Diceros bicornis minor: one gene and its partners. The protein of the gene in region 3 interacts with the protein of the main gene of each other region in a biochemical or structural test. Links are inferred from orthologs where the notes say so. Each region holds a gene or a part of one and is shown on either strand. Other genes may lie near its edges.

Evidence for each region.
Region 1: of the proteins of CUL2 (region 3) and DCUN1D5, one has a biochemical effect on the other in vitro, tested with the Homo sapiens proteins (2 studies listed by BioGRID, with this or other methods). The link is inferred for Diceros bicornis minor from reciprocal best matches to the Homo sapiens genes CUL2 and DCUN1D5.
Region 2: the proteins of CUL2 (region 3) and CDC34 form a complex in vitro, tested with the Homo sapiens proteins (2 studies listed by BioGRID). The link is inferred for Diceros bicornis minor from reciprocal best matches to the Homo sapiens genes CUL2 and CDC34.

Annotation. Positions count from the first base shown.
Region 1 is NC_080746.1:31,997,070-32,004,353, forward strand, and holds the start of DCUN1D5 (DCN1-like protein 5), read left to right. Parts: upstream 1-4,215; 5' UTR 4,216-4,469; coding exon 4,470-4,555; intron 4,556-6,711; coding exon 6,712-6,803; intron 6,804-7,284. UniProt on the Homo sapiens protein: Contributes to the neddylation of all cullins by transferring NEDD8 from N-terminally acetylated NEDD8-conjugating E2s enzyme to different cullin C-terminal domain-RBX complexes which is necessary for the activation of cullin-RING E3 ubiquitin ligases (CRLs).
Region 2 is NW_026691553.1:212,584-220,536, forward strand, and holds the start of CDC34 (ubiquitin-conjugating enzyme E2 R1), read left to right. Parts: upstream 1-4,884; 5' UTR 4,885-4,989; coding exon 4,990-5,166; intron 5,167-7,953. UniProt on the Homo sapiens protein: E2 ubiquitin-conjugating enzyme that accepts ubiquitin from an E1 ubiquitin-activating protein, and catalyzes its covalent attachment to other proteins by an E3 ubiquitin-protein ligase complex. In vitro catalyzes 'Lys-48'-linked polyubiquitination.
Region 3 is NC_080775.1:32,877,386-32,885,343, reverse strand, and holds the start of CUL2 (cullin-2), read left to right. Parts: upstream 1-4,900; 5' UTR 4,901-5,012; intron 5,013-5,116; exon of another isoform or gene 5,117-5,246; intron 5,247-5,401; exon of another isoform or gene 5,402-5,528; intron 5,529-7,958.

The sequences.
Region 1 (7,284 bases), on a different chromosome or scaffold from region 3:
ATACAGAAAGTTCCCATATATCTCACACCCGGTTTCCCCTATTATTAACATCTTACATTAGTATGGGACATTTCTCACAATTAATGAACCAATATTGATTCATTATTATTATTATTATTTATTAGACTCCATTCTTGACAGGGAGTGGCAAGGGTCTAGAAGAATATGTGGGTTGAGAGATATCATTTCAACCATCTTTAGAAAATACAATCTACCACAGTGAGGTATACGCAGAAACTAATCTTATGCTTTTCCCTACTACCCCTTTAAAACTACTCTGTGAACTCATTCATCCCTGGATCTTGAATAAAATCTCATTCCAATACCATACTGTTGTAGACTGTATTTACCTTTATTTGGTGCCCCTCTCTGCAAGAGGATTATACATTCCTATCCTGATGAACTCAGGAGTAGCCTCAGGTGTATGACTTAAAGAGAAGTGATACACGTCACTTCAGGGCAGAACCTTTAACAGCCAGCATGGGGTTCACCGTATTTTCCTTTCTGTCTGTCGTGATGACAGGCAATGTTCCAGATAGTGGCTACTTCCTCAGGCTGGGTCCCAGAGTGCACCAGGCCCACAGACAGGCTGCAATTGATGTGCTCTAGCACACTGCTTTAGGAGGTATGGGGTACGTGGTGTGACATAGTTCTGCACTGTTGGGCCTCCCTAAAACACAAGTTCTCATGGGCTTTATTGAAGCTCCAAAACAGAAAGTCCTGTTTTAACATCCTATTTCTCTGGGTTTATGGGTATGAAAATATTTTACAAAATTTTGACTTACAAGATTGTTTTGAAAATCAATGTTAATGTATGGAGAGTATTCGTATAGATCCAGGACTACAGTAACATGTGGCATCCCACAAATCACTTAATTTCTGTGTTGCTTGTTTTTCTGGCAAGTGGAAATGCCCTATTTTAAGGTGGTGGTAAGAAAAAAATGAACTAAAATAAAATAAACAGAATATATAAATTAGCACATTTTAGGGCACTATTTTTGGCTGCTTTAATACAGATACAGCTATTTTAAAAGCTGTTTTTCCTGGCTTCATTCTATAACCCCCAAGAGCTAAGGGGTATGTATATAACCAACATGTCAAACAGATGACAGAGCTATGGCCCAGTCAAGTCTTTTTGCCTACTGCTCTATTTCGCATAAATATACATCCACTGTCATTACAGATTGATATTATTTAGTTATTTTTTTCTATATCCTTATATGTAACAGTATGATAAGATGAAGGATAAAGGAAGTTATGTGTCTTACCTAAGGGCACTGAGTGTCTTCTTTGGAGTTGAAACCAGAACACATGAGTTTCTGCTTAAGGTAAATTCTTCATCCCTTCCTTTCCTTCTCATTACTTTCATTAAAAAATTCTACTACATGACAAAGAACCACAGTACTCTGTCATAGTTTGTTTCTCCATTATAGGTGCCTTCTTGATGGAAAATAATGTACTATCCATGTGAGCAGCAGCAAAGATTAAAACTACATAACTAGGCATTTCTATACTGCTCACAGGCAGTGATGCTATCAATATGCCCCTTCTGTGAAAGTAATTGGGATGATGGAATGCTCCATTTTGAGAATGGAGGTATGGTGGTGGCAGTAGGTACTGATCAGAGAAGGCAATGAAGAAAACAGTCTACATGACCCTGGAAATCACCCTCTCCTTAATATTATTGACGAGTATAGATTACTGACCCTATTCTTTGTTCATAAAGTTCTCTTAAGTACAAATAGGCTGCTGCTTTATATTTCCCCCTCCAAACTGTAAGCTTCATGAATGCAGGAGTCATGCCTGCCTTTATATCCCTAAATCCAGCACAGTTCCTGGTTTAAGTGATCATTAAATATTGTTTGAATAACAGACTGGATGAATGAATACCATACATAAACCCAGTCTTTTATCTATTTTTCAGAGAATTCTACAGATGCAGGTAGGCTCCTGTCCAATCACTGCATTCAGCTGAATCTCCAGAATCTCCAGGTGTGGTGGGGTCTTCTTCCTTAGGTCTAGAAGTAGTTCTTTATGGTCCAGTGACCTATAAACTAAGAGATAATTATCTGCTCCCCACTCTCATGCAATAAACAACAGTGGAGAATGGACACAATAACCACAATAAATATTCCTATTTAGAGAAGAATGGAAGATGTGCAATAGTCACTGGTCCATAGCAGTGCTGGTATCCTGCTAGACAGGCATTATGAAGCTTCCTTACCCCTTAATTAGGCCTTGATTCTGCTCTCTGGAAGGATATCCCTCTGAGGTCTTAGTATTTATCTTTTAGAATTTTATTCCATTTCCTTTGTCCTATTTGGGGAAAGGCATGTTTAGCTTTTGCAGCTCACTTATTGAAGAAATAAGCTTGGTTATTTCTAATGGTGTTTTGTCATGTCTTTTTGTTTTGTTTTGTTTTTTGGTTCACACTTTTTTTTATCAACTTTACTGAAGAATAATATTCATACAATAAAGGGCATACACTTTTAATTGTACAGTTCAATGAATTTTGACAAGTATATACACCACCACCTAAATCGAGACATAGAATATGTCTATTATCCAGAAACTTCCCTTGTACTTCCTTGCAGTCTTCCCCCTCCATCCTCATCCCATTCCAGTCCCCAAGCATCACTGATGCTGTCCTGTAAATAAGTTTTGCCTGTTCTAGCATTTCATCAATATCAGCTAGTGTTCAAATTCCCAATTGCCTCATAAATGTCATGATATTGTTTAAATTATTTGAATCAAGATTCAAATAAGACATATGAAAAATGATATATCTTTTAAAATTTCTTTCTCCCACTCTCTTTATAATAATTTGTTATGGAATCTGGGTCATTTTTCCTGTAGATTTTCTGACAATATAGATTTGCTGATTGCATTGAGTGTTAATATGTTCCACCATCCTCTACTTACAGATGGCATTTCTTTTTAGAGACTTGACCTTATTCAGATTTGATTTTTTGGCCTCATGCATTTTTAACTGCGTTGTGGGATTACAGCATTCAAGAACAATATTCTTTTGGTTGTAAGTAACAGAGAACTTAATTGCATAACCAAAACAGTGAGATTTATTGCTCATGTATCTGAAAATTCCAGGGCATACATAGATTCAGGGCTCATTTCATAAAATCATGTCTTGGTTTTTGTCTTTCTGCTTGATTCTGGTCTCTTCTGAGTTTTGGCTTCATTCTCCACATCCTCTCAAGTTCAGTCCATAGGAAATAAAGTTGCTTCCTGATGGTTCAGTTTCATATCATGGCACTGACTAGCAGGTCTTGAGTCATGTGTCTGTTCTGAACCAATTAATGACACTAGGGAAATATGATATTCTGATTGGCCAGGTGAGGGTGCCAAGATGGAGGTAGTCTCACCAGAACCTCATCAACTGTTATTGAGTTTAAAGAGACTTTTAGTCCTCTACCATCACAGTTGGTTTACAGATGTGAACTTATTTTACATGTATATATTGAGTAAAACGACTTTCTACTATATAATCTTTACATGCAGTAACCTTTATTTATAAACAATATTTTCACTGAAGTGGAGCTGGAGTGATTGCAAGTGTACTGGGTAGTAAGGATTGGGGGGAGGCCCCTTAGAATTGTCCCCCAAATTCTCTTTACTAAGTCAGCGATCACGTACGCTTATCTGAAAGGTGAGCTCTGTGGAAACAGAAATGGTAGAGCTAAGTTTTAACAAGGGGAAATGAGAAGCAGAGGTCAGGGATGATGGAGAAATGGAGGTGGGAGAGCGGGAGGCTGATCGCCGGCCCGTAAAGAAAACAAGCATTTAAGGGGTGGGGAACAATTAACGTGAGGTTACCGAATGGAAGAGCTCAGAAGTGAAACTTGGTTTACTTTACCAGGTTATTTGTAACGCCAACTGCAGAGTATTAGTGGTTTCATAAAACATTTCTTGAGGGTGACTACCAGCCTTAGGACAGGATGGAAGCTTCGTGAGAAAGGTCGGGATAGCCTGGACAACCAAAGACGGTCAACTGGCCACCAGTTCACGATTTCTCCACTCCTGGCAGCTACGCACCGTCGCTCAGCCTGGCTGACGGCGAGCCAGGGCCAACCGGCGCCACGCCCCTCCCGGCGACCGGCTCTGAGCTTGCGTCACTTCCGGTCCTGGGCGATTCGCTTCCAGGTCGGACTGAGTCTCTTGCTCTCGGAATCTGTGAGTGGTGGCGGTGCCGCGCTGTCCGCGTTCTCTCTTCCCGGTGTGACCAAGCTGCAGTGTCCACCGGCGAGGAGTACCCGCTGCCCCGAGCCGAGGAGGACGAGGAGGAGATCTGGGAGCGAGCGGCGGCCGGCCTGGGCCGCTCTGGTGGGGGCTGGCGACTCTGCTCCTTCACTTGCTGCTGTCTCTGGGAACCGGGTGTCAGCACTGAGGAGTCTTCAGCGGACAGCGATCCCCTTCCCCGGCTCCCCTGCCCACCCTGCCGGGGAGGGCGGAAGATGCCAGTGAAGAAGAAGAGAAAATCCTCTGGGGTGGCAGCGGCAGTAGCGGAAGACGGAGGCCTGAAAAAGTGTAAAATCTCCAGGTACCACCTCCCCCCACCCTTCAATCTTTCCTCCTTCCTCCTTCGCCGGACGGCAAGGGGAGAAGGAGGCGGGCCTGGTCTCCGGGGCTCGGGCTGGGGAGAGGTGAGCCCACTCTGAGAAAGCTAGGTGGTGGCTGCAGGACACCGCGAGTGCCTGCGCCGGCTCCACCTCGTGTTCGGTGTGTGCGCTCTGGCGCCTATGGAGGGACTGGAAGTCTCCTCACATTGGAGTCTCCGTGCCCTGGAGGGTGGGGAAACAGGAATGCGTACGTAAATTGCGCTCTTTCCCCTTACCCGCTACACCCTCAATCCCACCCCACCCCCACCCCCACCCCCACCCCCTGGCCTTCTTTCCAGACCTAGAAGTGAGTACAGATCCGCGGAATGGTCACTTCTAGAATTTCTTTGTAGAGTGTGAAGAAAGGAGCAGAGCATGAGGACTCTTGACCTGACAACTGCCATGGGGATGGTAGAAAGGAAAGCTCCCTGTGCTATAATTGATCTCCGGTAGTAGTTGGAGTGGTCTAACCCGGATGATCCCAGCAGCAGGCCTTTAAATCGCAGGAGCTGCATTTTCTGGAAGGATAGCGCCTCCACCTGCGCCAAGTCCCTCTGTGCAGAGTTGGAAAGGCCCTGTATGCGTTTTGTGTTCTAGCATTCTGCTGTTAGTTCTCAATATAAATATTAATAATTTGAAAGCTATTGTACTCTGTATCCTCTTGGAGAAAAAGAAAACAAAGCAAAGCTATAGTTATAGCTCTTTGATCCCATTGTAGCATGTCATTGGAGCATCGCAGCAACCTTGTATGCTGCAAAAAATCATTGCAATTTAGGCGTGAGAAGTGGGTTTTTTAAATCCGCTTATTGGATGTCTTTGGCTGTATCAGTGGTTGGCACTTGATGTGACAACTTTAGGTGCTGCTATGAAAAGAAGACTAGCCAGCGTTATAAAGAGGAGATTATAATAGAGCTCTCCTTAAAGAGAGACCTGCTTAAAATGTGAGGTCGGTGGCTTATTTAGTCTGCATCTTCTTTTCATAATTGGTTAAATTTTTTTCCTTCATTATTGTGTTTGGCAAAGGAGCCTAAGGATATTTCTTGGGCTGTTACTGTGAAAGATGGTGCTGTTTTCATATCCCTCTTGGTAACTCACACTAGAATTTAACATGGTTACTCCACTAGCTCATATTTTTATGAAACTTACAAATTAGTTTTTTATTATTCTAACTTGTAGTCATCTTAAGTGTATAATGTATCAAAATTATTTAAATTGAGCACATTAAAATAGCTGAGCAGTCAATATTATTAGAACTCAGGTGATACTTTGCTCAATCAACTTAAAATTTTAAATATAGTACCCTTATTTTACGTTACGTTACATTACATTAGTCAGTTGCAGAAGTTATAGCATTTCTATGTTATGGTGGTGTAACTATTTGAGCTTCTTGAGAAGGTTCTCTGAAGTTCATTAAATCCTATGGCCATTTATGAAATTCCTAACTTTTAATGGTTTTATGAAAAAGATAAACAGACTCTGGGATTAAATAGCTTTGGCCCAATTATTTGTACTGTTTCTATCTTTTGGAGTTTTTTGTTTTTTTTTTTTTTTAATCTGTGGAATTCAATTTTACCCATAGGTCGTAAATCATCTTTTATCTTTAAATATCTATTTAATCTTAGTTGATGATGAACAACTCTTAATACATAATTTTATTTTGAAATATTGATTCATTAAGTATCAAAATATACTTTGTAAGATTTTGTTTTCAAATGTGTACCTATTATACACAAATATAATTTTCATGCAAATCAGCAGAAGGATCACTGGAAAGATTTATGTTTTCCCAAGTACCAGTCCTGCATTGAGAACATTAGGTTGAACTTCTGTGTGGTCTTTTGAAATTTGGGGAATTAATTTTAGTTGATATTTTTGGAATTTGATAATGAGCAAAGTAGCATTTGGGTTTTGTTAGCCAGAAATTTTAATGTACTGTTTCAAATTGCAAATACTTAACAACTCCAATTTTTTTCTTCTAATGCCAGCTGTAAAAAAAAATACTTTGTTTAGTTTGAATTGAAGTAGTTCATATTGAACTTAGCTTTTCACTAAAAGTTGAGACTTGATAAAATTCTTAGGCATTTGTGTGTTTTCTAAGCTATTGCAGATCCCAACCCCCTGCTAGACTAATAAGTGGAGAGGAACATTTTTCAAGCAAGAAGTGCCTGGCTTGGTTTTATGAGTATGCAGGTAATGAAATTAATATAAGAAGATATCGGTCACATGCTTTAAAACGGTTTTTTGGTTCATTATTTTAACGAATTATTTATTGCAGGCCTGCTATGTGTTAGTGCTGTGTGCTGCAATCAGGGTCAAGGCTGAGAATTGTGGGTAGGCTAAGAATTTGGTGCCATTTCAGGCTGATATTTTCTGTAAATATATAATTCAGTATATATTTAGTAGGAGGGTTGAAACTCATTTACTGTTAATACAATTTGTAAGCAGACACGTTCACTTACTGGTTTACATCCATTGACTAAAGTGGACTTGGTATTCTGGAAAACACAAAGTATGTAATAAAACATTTTATACGTTATATAGTTCTTTTCAGTATTCTTTTGAAATTTTTCTGAACTAGAAACTGACATTTTCTGACACTTTTAGGAGACATAGTAAAAAATTCAAACCTCAGGGCCGGCCCGGTAGTGTAGTGGTTAAGTTTGGGCTCCAC
Region 2 (7,953 bases), on a different chromosome or scaffold from region 3:
ATAAACGATTGATTTATTGATTTATGATAAAAGCCCGAGTTCTGGGCTCGTCTGTTACGCAGCAGTGGTAGCCGGAAAATTAACAAAGCTGCCCTTCAGTAAGTGTTCGCGGTTAGTACTAGAGTATGTCACCAGCCCACGCGCGGGAACGCGCCCGAAGCATCAGCATCTGTGGCCTCGGGCCGGGGACCGCACATCCAGGAAGCAGCAGGGGACAGATGTGGGTGAGGCCGGGTGGACCTTCTGCGTTAGTCCCGAACTGTCCCCGAGGCCAGGACAGGACTCACGGCCCGGGCACCCTCTGGTCAGCTCTGTGGTCCCCGGGCGACCCCTGCCTCCCGGTCATCAGAACCAGGCAGGGCACTGTGCAGTGGGTGTTGCTGGTGCCACCACATCCTCATCGCAGGTCGCGGCTGCCCCTCGAGGGAGGAGGAGCCACACAGCCCAGGAGGGTCCATGCCTCCTTCCGGGGCAGACGTCCCCGGTGAGTGACACCGGGGGCACCAGAGCCGGCCCCGTCGCCTCAGGTGGAGCTGTCGGGGGGCAGCTCACGCTCCAGCCCCCCATCAGGCTGAGGGGACCCCAGCCGGGACCACCTCCCTGCCTTGTCCAGCTCCCCTCACCGTCGCCGAGTCACCGCCACGCCCGGTCGCGGGTCCGGAAGCCCCCTGTTGTCATGATCCCCACGTGACCTCTGCCGGCGCAGCCCCGGGAAGCCGCCCCCTCCTCCTCGCCTGGCCTCGCAGCAGCGTGGACCATGGAACCTCCCGCTTCTGGGAACACCCACTTCCCCGTCCCCCACCGGCCCCATCTCGCGGTGGTCCCTCTGCTGCCCCCGAAGGCTCCTCCTCTTCCCAGCTCCCCAGGGAGGGCGTCCCCTGGCTCCGTCTGGGGCCTCTCCTGTCCTCACCTCGTGCATCCTCATCCCCTGGCCTCTCTCCAGGCCCTCGGCTTCAGTTACGGCCCCGGGGGCGCCAAGGCGTCTCACATTCATCTCTCAGGCCCGGCCCCACTCTGCTCCAGCCTGCGAGAGCCAATCGCCTGCTGGGCGTCTCCTCGGGCACATCTCAAGTGCATCCCAGGCCTGCCACGTCGGGGACAGAGCCTCTGGTCAGCCTCCCTGATCCCGGGGCTCCTCTGGGTGTCTGGTCTCTGAGGAAGCCCCCAGTCCGCCCAGACACCGAGGTGGAGATGGGGGGGCTGGGCTGAATGCCCCCCGACCCTCAGCTGGCGGTGCTCTGCATCCTGTCGGTTGCGCCTCAACTCCATCCTGCCTGCTCCTCCTCTGAACTGGTCCAGCCTGCATCCTCATCCACCTGGGCGACCCCACCAGCCAATAGGAGTGCTCCCGGCACCCTGGCCCCAGTGATTGGTTCAGGAACAGCATGTGACTCCCGGCTGGCCAATGAGACGCAGCCCTGGGATTTTTTTCTGGGGTGGCTGAGCTGGGAGGACCCGGGCCCGGATTCTGGAGCCATCTTGTCACCACGAGGCCTGCAAACAAAGCCAACACTCAGGAAAGCTGAGCCAAGAGACTTCCCAGCTACTTTTCTGGCCTCTGTCCCCTCACTCTGCCCCAGGCACGCTGGTCTCTAGCTGGTCCGGCTTGGCCCTGCCTCAGGGCCTTTGCACGTGCTGTTCCCTCTCCCTGTGACACTGTTCCTCCAGACCCACGTGGCTCACTTCCTCACTGCATTCTAGTTTCTGCTCAGATGCCACCTCCTGACCACCCACTCAAAATAACCCTCCTGTGCCACCCCCGTTGCTAACACCTACCATGCTGTATTTTTCTTCATAGTAATTATTGCTATCAGAAATTGCTGTTTATTCATCAGCTTGTTTACAGCCTCCCCGAGGACAGGGATTTCTGCTCCTTTTGTTCACTGCTGTGTCCTCAGTGCCTAGATTTGTGCTTGGAAGGCCATGAGTGAGTGAATGACTTAATGACTGAATCAATTTTCCAGAGGAGGAATCTGAAGCCCATAGAGATAAGTGTATTCAATTCCTATGGGTGTTGTCAAAAGTTACCACAAAGTTAGTGACTTAAAGAACACGAGTTTACTATCACAGTTCTGGGGGCAGAGTCCTAAAATCCAGGTGTGGGTAGGGCTGGTTCCCTCTGGACGTTCCAGGAGAGAATCTGTTTGTTGCCTTTTCCAGCTTCTGGAGGCGCCACATCCTGGGCTCAAGGTCCCTTCCTCCATCTCCGAAGTGCATCTCTGCCCCGTCGTCCCATCGCCTGCTCCGCCTCTGACCCTCCCGCCTCCCGTGGCATTACACAGGTCCACTTGGATAACCAGGGTACTCTCCCCATCTCGAGGTTCTTAATCTCATCTGCAAAGTTCCTTTAGCCACGTGAGGCAGCGTACCCACAGGCTCCAGGATTAGGACGTGGCGTCTGGGGGGGCCCTTATTCTCCACCACAATAAGTAACAGATGGCACAGCCAGGGAGAGGCAGAGCTGGCTTTGGAGCCGGTTCTGTAGCATCCAAAGCACACCGGCCCCGTAGCCTTTGTCTTCGACTCCACGTCCCTCTCCCCTCAAGGGGCCACATTCTCTCCTGTGCATCCCTTTTTACTTCACCCCCGCAGCCCCTCCGCCTCGTGAGATCATGTGTTTCTTCCCAACAGGCATAATTGCAGTAAAAACACTATCGTCTCTGTCTCTATAACATTCTCAGTATCTATGCCGAGAGCTTTTCAAATATTATTTCATGAAACCCATTTTACAGATAAACTGAGACTTGCTTTAGCATTTGAGGACCGTTTTCAAGGTCACAGCCGAACTCAGATTTGAATGCAGGCCTCTTCTGTGGCACATGGTGGAAGGCCCAACTCAAACTGGCTTCATAAGAAAAGAATTTATCAGCTTGCATCATTGGCACATTCAGTGGAGGTCAGGCATGGCTGGATCCAGGAGCACAAACAGGGTTATCAGCCTTTCTGGTCAGTCGAGTCAGCTTTCCTGAGTGTCAACTTTGTTCACAGGCCTTGTGGTGATGAGATGGCCCCATAACTCCAGGCCCAGGTCCAACCAGCTCAGCCACCCCAGCTCGGTGTTCCCAGAAAAAGTCCCAGGGATGGCTGAGTCATGCTGTTACTGAACCAACCGCTGCAGCCAGGGGGCCTGGGGAACTCTGATTGGATGACCCATCCCTGCAGCCAGGCTTGGGGGTCAGTCCAATTCCAACCCTACAGACTAAGAGTGAGGATCCCCCCCCAAGGGAAAACCGAGGTGCTGTGGCCAGAAAACAGGTAGGCAGAGACCCCAGATGTCCACCACCCCGGGGACATTTCCGAGCCTGAGGAGCAGGCTTTCCTGGAGGACGAGGCCCCACGTGGGACCAGCTGGAGAGGCCATAAACCCGGTTTACATCTCCAGTTCCACCCCACCCACGCAACAACCCCCCTGGGATGTGGGGTGCTGTAGGAAAGATCTCAGGAAACCTCTCTGGAAGAGTCATGATTAATCATTATTATTCATCGACGAGCTGCCACATGCCAACGCTGTGACACTGGCGCCATGGGTGAGATGAGGGTCAGAGACACCTGAACATCTGGCAAAGGGCACACAGCCCACCTTACAGAGGACGGACCACTTCAGGTCCCTGGGGTGCAGGGCAGAGGGCCAAGAGATGAGGCCCAGCTCCCCTTTATGGATCAGAAAGCCAGGGTCCCGGCCCTGGGCAGCCATTGGAAGCTGCTGCTCTGCCCAGGGCTGGCTCAGACTCCTCCGTCCCTCCCACCGCTGACATTGTTTTCCTTCCCCCACACGGGGTCGCCTGGCTGTCCCCAGCTAGACGAGGCCAGGGGCCAGGCGTTGGGGCACCTGGGGGAGGGAGTCAGCTCAGCCCAGCCCAGGTGTTGCAGCTGTTGGCTGCCCGGGACACCTGCCAGCACCAGGGCCACGCCCACCCTCCTGGGGAGCCGTCACCTGCAGATGGGAGGGATGGAGGCCAGGTGGCCACGCCCACCCTCCTGACCTAAAGTACTAGCGCGGTGGGGGGGGTGTCTGGGACCACCCTCAGCCAGGTCAGAGCTCAGGCGGATCCGGTGAAGCCCAGGGTCAGGGCTAGCTGGGGTCAAAGGTCAGCCTGAGATCAGGGCGCAGCCCGGGTCAGGCTCAGCCTGGGCGTTCGGCCGGGATGGGGGCTGAACGGACGCCGAACGGGGAGGAGGACTAATTTCCAGTTTCTCGGGGAAGCAGCGTCAATCTCCTGGGATTCCAGTTCGTCGAGGTGAATCAAGTCGAGGGGTAACTTTGGGGTTTCCCCGCTGACCCTCGGGTCCCGCCGAGCTCCGCCCCTCCGAGGGGAAACCGAGGTACCGCCCGTGCAGGACGCCGTCTGCGGGCCGGGCCTCCCCGCAGCGGCCCGGCTTCCTGTCTGCCCGCCCAGAGCGGCCGGCGGGGACCCACGGGGAAACTGAGGCTCGGGCAGCGGGGTCCGGCCGCCCCGGCCCTTCCCTCCGCCCCGCCCCGGCCGGCCCCGGCCTGCCCCGCCCCGCGTGGGGACGTCACAAAAAAGGCCCCCAAGGCCGGGCGGGCCGGGGGTCTCAGCCCAGCTCCGCCGCCTCCCCGCGCACAGGTCCGTAGTCGTCCGCCCGGGCAGCAGCGGCCTCCGGGGGTCGGAAGCGCAAGGCGCCTGCGCACTCGGCCCCTGCTCCTGCGGCCGCTCTCGCGTGCGCGGGGCGGGACTCCACTTCCCGGCGTGCCCCGCGAGTGGGCACGCAGGCGCGGTCGGGGCCTGGGTTGGCGGCGCGCAGGCGTGGTCGGGACCCGGCGGCGGGGACGCGCAGGCGCGGGCGGGCGCGGGGTCGCGCAGGCGCAGCGGGGCGGGGCGCGGGCCAAGGGAGCGCCGGGCGGCGGCGGCGCCAGAGCGGGTGGAGCGCTCCGGGGCCCCGGGCGGCGGCGGCGGAGAGGAGGAGGAAGGCGGCCCCGGCCCCGGCCCGTCCCGCGCCCCCGACGCGGCCCCGGGCCCGTCCGCCGCCATGGCCCGGCCGCTGGTGCCCAGCTCGCAGAAGGCGCTGCTGCTGGAGCTGAAGGGGCTGCAGGAGGAGCCGGTGGAGGGCTTCCGCGTGACGCTGGTGGACGAGGGCGACCTGTACAACTGGGAAGTGGCCATCTTCGGGCCGCCCAACACCTACTACGAGGGCGGCTACTTCAAGGTGCGCGGCCGCCGGACTCGGCCCCCCTCCTACCCAGGCCCCGGACCCTTCTCTCCCTTCGCCCGACCCTCCTCCCCCGGCCCCGGATCCTCCTCCTCCTGCCCCGGCCCCGGCCCCTCTTTCTCGTTCCCCTGCCCCGGCCCCCGTCTCCTGGTCCTCCTCCTGCCCCTGCGCCTCCTCGCCCGGCCCCCTTCCTCTTCTGCCCTGGATCCTCCTCCCCCGACCCAAAATCCTCCTCCTCCCCTGGCTCCGGACCCTTGTCCTCCTCCCCCTGCCCCCGACCCCCCTGCCCCGACCCCGGATCCTCCTCCTCCTGCCCGGGTCCCGGACCCTCCTTCCCCGGCCCCGGACCCTCTTCCTCCTCCCCCTTCCCCTGTCCCCCTCTCCTGCCCCCGTTCCTCCTCCCCCTGCCCCGGACCCTCCTCCCCCGACCCCGGATCCTCCTCCTCCCCCGGTCCCGGTCCCCCTCTCCTACCTCCGTTCCTCCACCCCCGGGCTCCCTCCTGCTCCTGTCCCTCCTGCCCCTGCCCCCGCCCCCCTCCTCTCCTGCCTTGGTCGCTCCTGTCCCTGCCCCCAACCCTCCTGCCCCGACCCTGGATCCTCCTCCTCCCCCGGCCCCAGCCCCTCTTTCTCCTCCCTCAGCCCCAGATCCTCCTCCCTTCCTCTGCCCTGGACCCCCTCTTCCCTCCTGTCGGGGCGACCCCTCCCTTTTCTCGGGACCGAACTGTCCTTTTTCTCTTGAGGTGACTGTCCCTCGGTCCCATCCCTCTTTCACCGGCCCCAGATTCCCTCCTCCCTTGGCCAGACCCCCCTACCTCAGCCAGACTCCCCTTTCCTCAGCTGCATCGCGTTCTCCCTCCCTCTTTTGGCTGGACCTCCTCCTTCCTCAGCTGGACCTTCCTCCTTTCTCTGCCAGATTCCCTCCTCCCCCGGCAGGGCCCTCCCCACCTCAGTCAGGCTGGGGGACCCCTTGGTGTCCCCTGACGTCCGGCCCCAGGAGTCCCCGAGAACCGGGTTCCCTTGAAGGCCGCTTCAGGCCCCCAGAGAGGAGGCCGGAGCCCCCTGTTTGTTGGATGCGGGGTTTTGCTTCCCTTCTCGCTGGGAGGCTGGGCCCGGTGCCCCGTCTCTCCGACCTGGCTAGCCTTGCAGGGAGGGAAAGGGAGCCGTGGCCCACCCGGCCGCCAACTGCCCCCCTGGCCTGCCTGGAGGACAAAGGGAGCTCCCCAGAGGCGGGAGCACTGTGGGGGCCGCAGCTTTGGGGAGGAAGGAGGGAGGGAGCGAGGCCAGTGTGGGGTGACTGCCTGGCCACTTGCTCGAGCTCCCACAAAGTGGCAGCAGGACGCGCTTGGAGAGCGGCCCCCCGGCTGAAAGCAGGGCCCAGGCCCTCTGCTTGATCACTGGGCTATGTAACGTGTCTCTTTTGGGGGGGTGGAGGCCGCCCCTCCATCCTCCGCCCTGTGCCTGCAGCCAGCGCAGAGTGCGCCCCCAGGCCCCAGCTCCTGCCAGCACCCCGGTCCTGGCTGCTGAAGCTGCGCTCCTCTCGCCCTAACGGGCCTTTCCTGGGTTCCACAGAGCAGGTGGCTCCTTGGGGCCCGAGTCTCACACTCTGGGTCCTCTCCACTGTCCTCTGCGGTGTCTTAATTCCTAGGGGTTCCCTGTTGTTGGGCAAGTGCTTCCCAGGCAGGCTGTACTTCTGTCTGGAGTGAGAAGGGACTCGGGCCCAGATCTGGGCAGCGTTCTTGGTCTAATGGTCTGAGCCCAGCCATGGCCTTGGAGCGACCCCGCTCATGTGGAAGCACTCTGCTCTTTGAGCCTGAGGGACAACGCGGGGGTCTTAATGTGCGCCAGGTGGGGAGTGAGCCCTCAGCGCAGGAACCCCCTGTCACGGCTGGCCAGGAGCCCCACACTGCCCTGCCAGGTCCTGCCAGGTCTTGCTTGGCTGGAGGCCTGGGTGGGGAGCAGAAACCACAGCCCGGCCTGCTGCAGGGCGGGGCGGGTGCTGCTGGGTAGATGTCTATGTTTGCACTTTGGGCTAATGGAGCAGCCTGGTCTGCTGGCGTGATCCCTGAGTCGAGGTTCCCTCGTGCTGGGTGGGATGAGGGGACGAGTGTGGACCGCCCTGGGCCAAATTCTGTGTCTGCCACCTGGCCTCCCCATGCAGGCAGCGGATTTGGTCACTGGTGTAACCAGTGCCCTCCTCAGCCTCTCTTGTGTGCTTCGGGACAGCTGGCTGTGAGGATGAGGGTTCAGAGCTGGGATAACGGGGTCACCCCCTGAGGCCAGGCCAGGTCTCCGAGCAAGGTTGCCTGTCTGGGAGGAGAGGACGTGGGTCTCTGGCTATTGCCCAGTAACTGGTTGCAAGGGGTTGTGGGTAGAACTGCCAGGTTAGCGATGGGAGTCATGCTGTTGCTCTAGAGAAGACTGGAGGCTTCATTTCGTCTGCCGTAGGGTCTGTCCTCAGAGAAGCCAGCGTGAGACTCAGCGTGGTTCTGCTGCCGACTGGGCCCTCCTGTCCACGTGCGGGTGTGTGGGGGTGGGGAAGACTCTCTTCGCAGGAGATGTGGAAATACAGGGAGTGGGAAGTGCCCATGGGCCTCCATGGGTCACTTCCGCCTTCCTCTCGGCCAGCCCGGCTGCACCCACTTCTCCTTTGCGAGTCATAGACGGGCCCCTGGGAAGTGCGGTGTGTGAGGGGGCTGCCGGGGAGACCTGGGTTCCAGAGCCCCTTCCGCACCTCGCTTGTCGTGTGTCCTTGGGCACAGTGGTTTCCATGTCTGAGCCTGTTTG
Region 3 (7,958 bases):
ACCAGATCCAAGAGTCGCTGAGTCTGAGAAGCTAGCTTCACCAATATTTTCTCCTGTCAATCTAAATTTAGAAAGAGAAAACTCACCACTCTCATTTCCATTGGACCCCGCAGGCAGATATCCGGGAGATTGACATGGTAAGGACTCTCACCTCCTGCCAGCTCTTGTCAGGGTCCGAGATCTCCCCACTGCAGTCATCCAGGAGCGAGCTGTGTCCAGCCAGTGAAATTTTTGCCCCACGTTGGGCGCCAAAACTGTCAGGGGAGAGGGAGAATCCCCTTCCGCCCTTTCTCTTCTGGTTCTTCTGGCTGGCCAAATAATTAACAAGACAGGTCAGCAGGAGAAAATAATACCAAGTTTAATAACATGTATACATGGGAGAAACCAGGGAAACTGAGTTTCTCAACACAATCAAGAGATTCTCGCCTTAAATACCAGCTTCAGCTAAAGACAAAGGAGGATGTTGGGGGTGGCGGGAGTCAGTTAAGGGAGATTACCAGAAAAGCACAGTAAACAAGAGTAAGGTTATTATGCAGATTTAAGGCCTCACCTTCCACATTGATAAGTTTATAGAAATGAGGTCATCCCTCCTCTTCCCAATACAGAGAGGGAGATACCTTTACAAATGGAGATTTTCCCTTATGAATGTAAATGTTTGTCTGGCAACTCCTTGCAGGGCCACCTAGAGAATATGGCCAGAGACAGAATTTTTGATAAGATGGGCTCGTTGGTGCCTTCCTATGGTAACATCTGTTTTACATTGTATTACCAGCATCAGATAGTAACTCCTTCCTGGAACAGGTCTTCTATGTTAAATTCTTTAGGCAGTTAGTGGGGGAGGTCAAATGTCTGTCAGAGAAAACAATCAAGGTAAAGAGACATATTTCAGGGTGGCCAACTCTTGATCTCCCATATCCTACTGCTTCACTTTCTTGCTCACATTTTTCTAGCTTTGGCTAGTGGGAGCTCTTTCAGTTGCCTCCTGTAACCTTTGACATACCCTCACCAATGTGGATGTTTTTATTTTTGAGCACTTCCTTACTTTCTTACACTACAAGATTCTCCCGGCTCATCTTGTGTATTTCCTGCCCCAGCCCTACAGTCAGATATTTCTCCAAAGAGGAGTCTTGCATTTTCTTTTATAAGCACAACACAGCTCTTTGGTTAGCTACTCCAAACATGAAACCTGTTCTTCAATATCTCATTTGTTTTAGTTTACTAGAAGCAAAAGGTGGAAAAATATTTAATAAATGATATAACCAGGAAATGCAAATTCCTAGTAAAGATTTAAGAAAAGATGATTCAGATTTAGTATATAGAATATAAAAATGAGACAAATTATTTGAAATCATAAATATCGCAGCAAAATCAGGGCTCTTTGGATTTTATATCTATAAAGGAAGCTTATAAAGACAGCAAGTAGTTCTGGTTGGACTCCTCAAATAATTAGTACAGGGAGATTATGAAATGAACTTGGAAATTTTTGAAAGAAAAAATTATGTATACTCACAAATAGAGAATGAATAGAAGTGGATATACTTTGTTTACCGATTTATGTAATGACATTTTAAGATTTCTACTTAAAATATTTTTCATTAATTTTCCTCTTTAAATACTAATTTATAAATTACTCTGCCTGACTAAAAATTATTTATGTTCTCATAAAGATCAAAATCAGGAAGATTTTGAAGTAGCTGGCTACAAAATAGCATATCTATAATATGACCTGATTTGTGTCAAAATATTTAATAATATTCATAGAAAATATCTTGAGGAGTATTTATCAAGCTACACATGGTTATTTATCTCTGTAATATTGGTAGTTTTTTGTTTCTTTTTTACAAAAAAGCATTTATTACTTTTGAAGTCACAAAAAATATAAAGGAATTCAATAAACTTTACACAAAGCCAAAACACATTTTTAGAAATATATGTAATTTTTTCTAAAAAGTAAAACAAAGAAAAGATTCATGGATAAACTAGAGTTTGAAGTTTGGTTTGGAGGTAAAGACCAACCATTGCTTTAAAGTGGTGGCTTGAAGTGTTGGCCAGAAAGGAAACTTTTTTTTCTTGAAGGAAGTTGCAATCTCAATTTAATGTTAGGGGCTTGGATGCTATAACTTTTTTAGAAATGTCATTTCCCTATTATATAGGTTGAATAAGTTAGGAAGAGGTGAGAAGTCTCTGAATTTAGAAATAGTGGGGTGTTATGGCCATTCATGCTTGGCACCCTTTGTGCTAGTCCACATCTCCAGCTAGAGTTCAAAAGGAAAGTGGTGAGAGCGGATGCAGTTCATGAGTTAGAGCAGGGGTTCTCAAACTTTTGGTCTGTGGACCACTTTACACTCTTAACAATTACTGAGGAACTCAAAGAACTTATGCTTGTGTGGGTTATATGTATCAATAGGTACCATATTAGAATTAAAAAGAGGATTTAAAAAGCCCTATTTATAAATTAAAAAATAATAAACCCAAACACATTTTAACATAAATTGCAAAGTTTTATGAAAAAAAAAACATATCTTCTAAAATAAAAAAAATTTAGTGAGAAGAATGGCATTGCTTTGCATTTTTGCATATCTCTAATGTCTGGCTTAATAGAAGATAGCTAGGTTCTCCGTGGTTGAAGTACATGAAGAAAATAGGAGGCCTTAGTAGGAGAATTTAATGGTCTTTTTGGATAACCGGTGTGTATTCTTCTCTGATACTACAGAAAATTTGACAAGTGGTAGTTTCTTAAAGATTAGTTGCCATGAGGAATCTGAAACCATATCAAGTCACCTGTGTACTCGGCTTTTTTTGTGTGTGTACACACACACACACCCCTATCTACCAATTGGTCTCTCTTGTATTTTGAATGGATCTTTTATCCATGTGTGATTTTATAACATCCTGCATTGGTCATTTGGAAAATACTGTTTTATTGTGTCATGTAGATCTTCCATATGTTGACATATCTCATCATACAATATCAAAAAGTCATATTCATTAATAGCACTACAGTCTCATCAGAAAAGTCTTTAAGCTATCAAGCTTATAGTGGTGAACACAAGTTACCCAAATTTTCAAATTTCACTTGAAAGCTAAATTTTATCATTGACAACAAATACTCTCAGCTGTCTTGCTTGAAGTATTAAGCTCACTTCATTCATTTTGGAGAAATATTTGTCAATTACCAAGTCAGAGTAACATTAGTTTATCTGTTGTTCTTTCAAGGAAAAATGGTGTTCCATGACAAAAGCAGCTAGGTCAGCTTGCAACTCAGCTACACAAATGTTTTTCTTCAAGACAACCATCCTACTTTGGTATGGAGCTAAAGTGTGTACTTCCCATTTCTTCACACAGAATATTAGAAAGAGGTGTACTCACGGCTGAAATTTATAAAATTAATACTTTTTACTACTTCATCAAGGATATTCCTAAATAGATATTCTAAAAAACTGGTTTGGCAGTGTGGAGTGGAGTGTGTGGCAGCAAACAATACTGTGATCCATTGACCACTGGGACAGTTTTGTGCAACCCTCTTGGTTCCCGCTAAGGCAACTTCAGGGGTGTTACTACTGCTTATCACCATAAGTGTAAATGTGATAAAAAAGATAAAAAACATGTTGTATCATTATGAAGATTGTTTTTAACCTTGGGACCCCTGGAAAGGTCTTGGAGATTTCCAGACATCTGAGGACCACACTTTGAGAATTGTTGAATTAAAAAATGGAAAACATGGGGCTGGCCTGGTGCCATTTAAGTTTCAACGCTCTGCTTAGGTGGCCAGAGAATCTCGAGTTCAAGATCCCAGGCGCAGATCATCACACTGCTCATCCAGCCATACTGTGGCGGGGTCCCATATAAAGTAGAGGAAGATGGGCACGGATGTTAGTCCAGGGCCAATCTTCCTCAAGCAAAAAAAGGAGGATTGGCAATAGATGTTAGTTCAGGGACAAGCTACCTCACACACACACACAAAAGATGGAGAACATGTGAGAAAAAAGGTCATATAATGGAAACAAACCATTGAACTGAATTTAGTATATAATAACTTTATTAAAATAAAGTGTACAGACTTCAAGTGCCATGAGAAGGAGATAAGAGATTGCTTCTTAAATCTTAAAGAGTGGTGGGATTTATCACCTTAGGAGACAGGATTTAAGTGGGCCTTGAAGGATCAGTACAAATAGTCTGAAGAAAGGGTTGGAAGGGAAAGTCTTGCTCAGAACGTACAAATGAAGAACAAGACTTTGACCACTGAGATATGAAAGACAAATAAGGAATAAAGCCAGGCTTTCGTTCTCTTGTGGTTCTGTGTAAATGAGGAGATGACTAGTAAATCTATATTTTCATCAACATGACCAAATTGTAAGGGAGGAAAACCCTTTCCAGGGATATGATAGTGCTGGTGGTGGGGAATAAGTGCTCAAGACTGTGAAGAGAAGTTCCTTTAACGAAAATACATTTATGTATCATTATTTGTCTATTGATTAAAAACCCACTAGAAAAGGAGTCTGTCAAAGGGAAAAGCAGTTTTGCTGATATATTTTTGATCATTTGAAAAGCCCATGGAAGCGTGTGGCAAGGAGGCTGTGGTGTCTCAGAATATTCACGTAGCTCTGAAACAACTCACAGGAAAATACTTTTGTTGAAAACGCCTTTCTGACACTTTTCGTCAGCGAGTAGCCGCCAAACTTGGAGGGCCCTGACTACAGCCTGGCGCTTGCCTCGTTAACAATCAGCACCGCACGCAGCCCCTTTAGAGACTGCTCCCCGAGGCCTTTCGCCATGCACTAAGCCGGGCTCCCTGCGCTTGCCGTACGCGGACCCTACCACTGCTAGCGGAGGGGGGTTTGGAAGTGGCGGAAGGGAGACCGGAGGGAGGGTGTCAGGGAAAGCCGGCCGCCCGGAGAACGGCCGTTTCACGGACCCCGTAACCAGCCCGTCCTCCCCTCCCCCTCCCCACGCCACGTCCCGTCCGGGAGCGGCGGCGGCCTTGGCTTTGCGGCGTTCGCGCGCGGTGGCAGGTGAGCGTCGGGCGCGCGGGCTCCCGGGCTGGGCTCCCCCCGCGTCTCCGGGCCGGTGGCGGCGGCCGGCGGGGAGGCGGCCTCGGCGCACAGTAATGGCAGCGCTGTGAGCAGGGGACGCGAGCTGACAGCCGCCGCCGCCGCCCACCCTCCTCGCCGGGGCTTCGTCCTTCACGCCTTCGGGCTGCCTCCCCCTCCCCTTGTCCCCTGCCCCTTGTCCCGCTTCTGCAGCAGGTAACCCCGCTGAGGGTCGGGGAGCCGGGCTGCAGGCGCCGGGAAACTTCCCTTCCCGGTTCATGGGTGGCGAGGACGGGGCGGAGGAAAGGAATTGGGGGCGAGGAGCGGGGAGGGGGAAGGATGCAGGGGGCGGCCAGCGAAGACGGTGTCCTGTGAGTGACCCCGGCTCCCTGGAGCGCTGACCCCTGAGCCCGGCCGCCCCCTGGACTGGATCCCGGGCCTCCCCAGCCCGGCCTTGGCCGCCCCTCCCTCGGCCCCATTTTCCTCCGAAGGAGGGAGGTGAGAGTGCGTGGACTCCTCTGCTTATTTACGGGCTCCCACGGATCCACAACTCTGTGTGTCTGGGTTGGGGGTGGGGAGGAGGGCATCAATTTCTTACATCCTTACCACGAGTATTTTCACTTTTGTTTCCGCCGACAGGGAAGATTGATAGCTTTGGGGAGCAGTATCCTAAGGGCATCCGTCTCAACACTTAGGATCTGTGAAATAAGAGCCTCAGACTCTCTTTAGAGCACTTAGTTACACACTGGGGAGTCTGGACCATCCCTACCACCCCACGAATGCGTGCATGTAAATAAAACATCTGTGAATTGCAGGCTGTTGTTATTGTTAAATCCTCTCTTTTCCCCCATGGATTACTATTACCAGTAAAAGGGCAGCACCTTGGAAGTTTAAATTTTGAAGATAGTAAGATATAAACTACTGACATTCGCTGTAGGCTAACTTTACAATATAAAAATCTTTGAAAGAGACCTGTGCCAGACCTACATTCATAGTAAAATATGGGAAATAATCACCTTGTTCTGATTGATTACTGACTACTTAATAGACATTTAAAAACACTTAAAAGCCTGTTCCCTTCCCTTTAAAATGTCACATTCTTTTCCAAGATAGACAAATGAGCAAAATTGGTTATACTTGGCCTGTTTTGCCCAAATACAGTGTTTGGAAGACTCTTCCAAAAGAGTCATAAATGAAATAACAGATGGACACAGCGTTTTGAGTTATCCTTTTTTTTTCAGATGCTGTTTATAAGTTGGGGGAACATTTCTACACTGTGGGTGCACATAGTGTGTGAAAAATGCCTTTTCTTTGTATTTGAATGTGTCCGTGCATCTGAAGTACTCTTGGTTCACTCTCCCCCCTCTCTGATGATTTTTGGTGTTTTATAAATGTGAAGATAGTTTATCCATGTCTTTTATCCTCACCCATCTGTCACTAAATTAAATGTTGTGGAGCTTCTTTAAAGTCAGTTTTGCCTTATCTATCAGTTAAGTATTTATCAAGCACCTGGTTCGTATGCCAAGCATTGTTGCAGGCATTTAGGGAGACAGCAGTAAACAAGACACACTGAAATTTCTTCCCCCCTGGAGCTTTGATTCTGGTGGGAGAGGGAGAGACAGACAATAAATAGGAAATAAAAATATTTTCAGAGAATCACAAGTGCTATGAAGGAAATAAAATAGAGAGTTATGGTAGTGACTGGGAGAAGACTACTTCAGATGCTGTGGTCAGGAAAGACATGTCTGAGGTGACCTTTGACCTGATATCTGCGAAGGGAGAAGGATTTAGCGTTTGGAAGTCTGAGGGAAGAGTGTTCCTGTCTGAGAGAACAGCAAATGGAAATGCCCAGAGGTGGTATCGAGCTTGGGTTCAGCGAATGGGAAGAAGTTCATTAAAGGGGCATCCTAGTGAGAGCTAAGTGGGGAGGTCCTAGCCAGGGGCCAGGTCATGTGATGTCTTACTGTCCAAAGGAGTTTGGCTTTTATTCTTAAAGTACATTGAAAAGCTATTGGAATTTTTGTAAGGCTGGGAGTGATGTGGTCTGACTTAGAATCTGACTGTTGGGAAGATTGGGTAAGAGGAGAAAAGAAAGACCAGTCACTACTCCTCTCAAAGCTGACTGAGTAGAGTAGTGACTGGAGTCAGTAAAAGAGATTTTGAGATATGTCTGGAGTTAAAGGTATTTACTGAACTTGTGGTTTGGCTGGGGGTGCAGTTGGTTGGGACAGGGGTGACTCCTGGGGTTTTGGCTTCAACTGGAGGATGGTGATGCCATGTATTGAGATGGGGAAGACGTGAGGGAAGCAGGTTGTTAGGGGGATAGAACTGGATTGGACGTGTTAAGTAGGACCTATTAGATGTTCAGGTAGAGGTGAGAAGTAGGCATTAGATATACAGGTCTGGAGTTTAGTGGAGAGATTAAGGAGTCATTCATTCATTCAACAGTTATTTTTCAAGCACCAGCTATGAACCAGGCAGTGGGGATATAGCAGTGAAAAAATAGACAAAAATCTCTGCCTTCAGGAAACTTAGATTCTAGTGAGGAGAGAAAGAGATGGAGAGTCATCAGCATTTATTTGTTGGTTTATTATAATTATATTTTGAATAAAAATTACATTCACATGATTCAAAATTTAAAGTGTGATGGGGGTATAGAATGAAAATCTCCCCTGTTTCTTGTCCCCCGTCTCCCAGTTTTCGTCTCCCAGTTTTCGTTGGAGCCAAGCAATGTTAGAGGTTTCTTACGTATCCTTCCAAAGATATGTTTTGTGCACATATAAGCAAATATGTATATATTCTCTCCACTCTGCAAAAGTGGTAGCATACTTGACCTGCTTTGACACCTTGTATTTTTTGGAGTATTAAATAGTATTTAAAAGTTATGAAACATGATGAGACCACCTAAAGAAAGAATGTAGAAAGAAG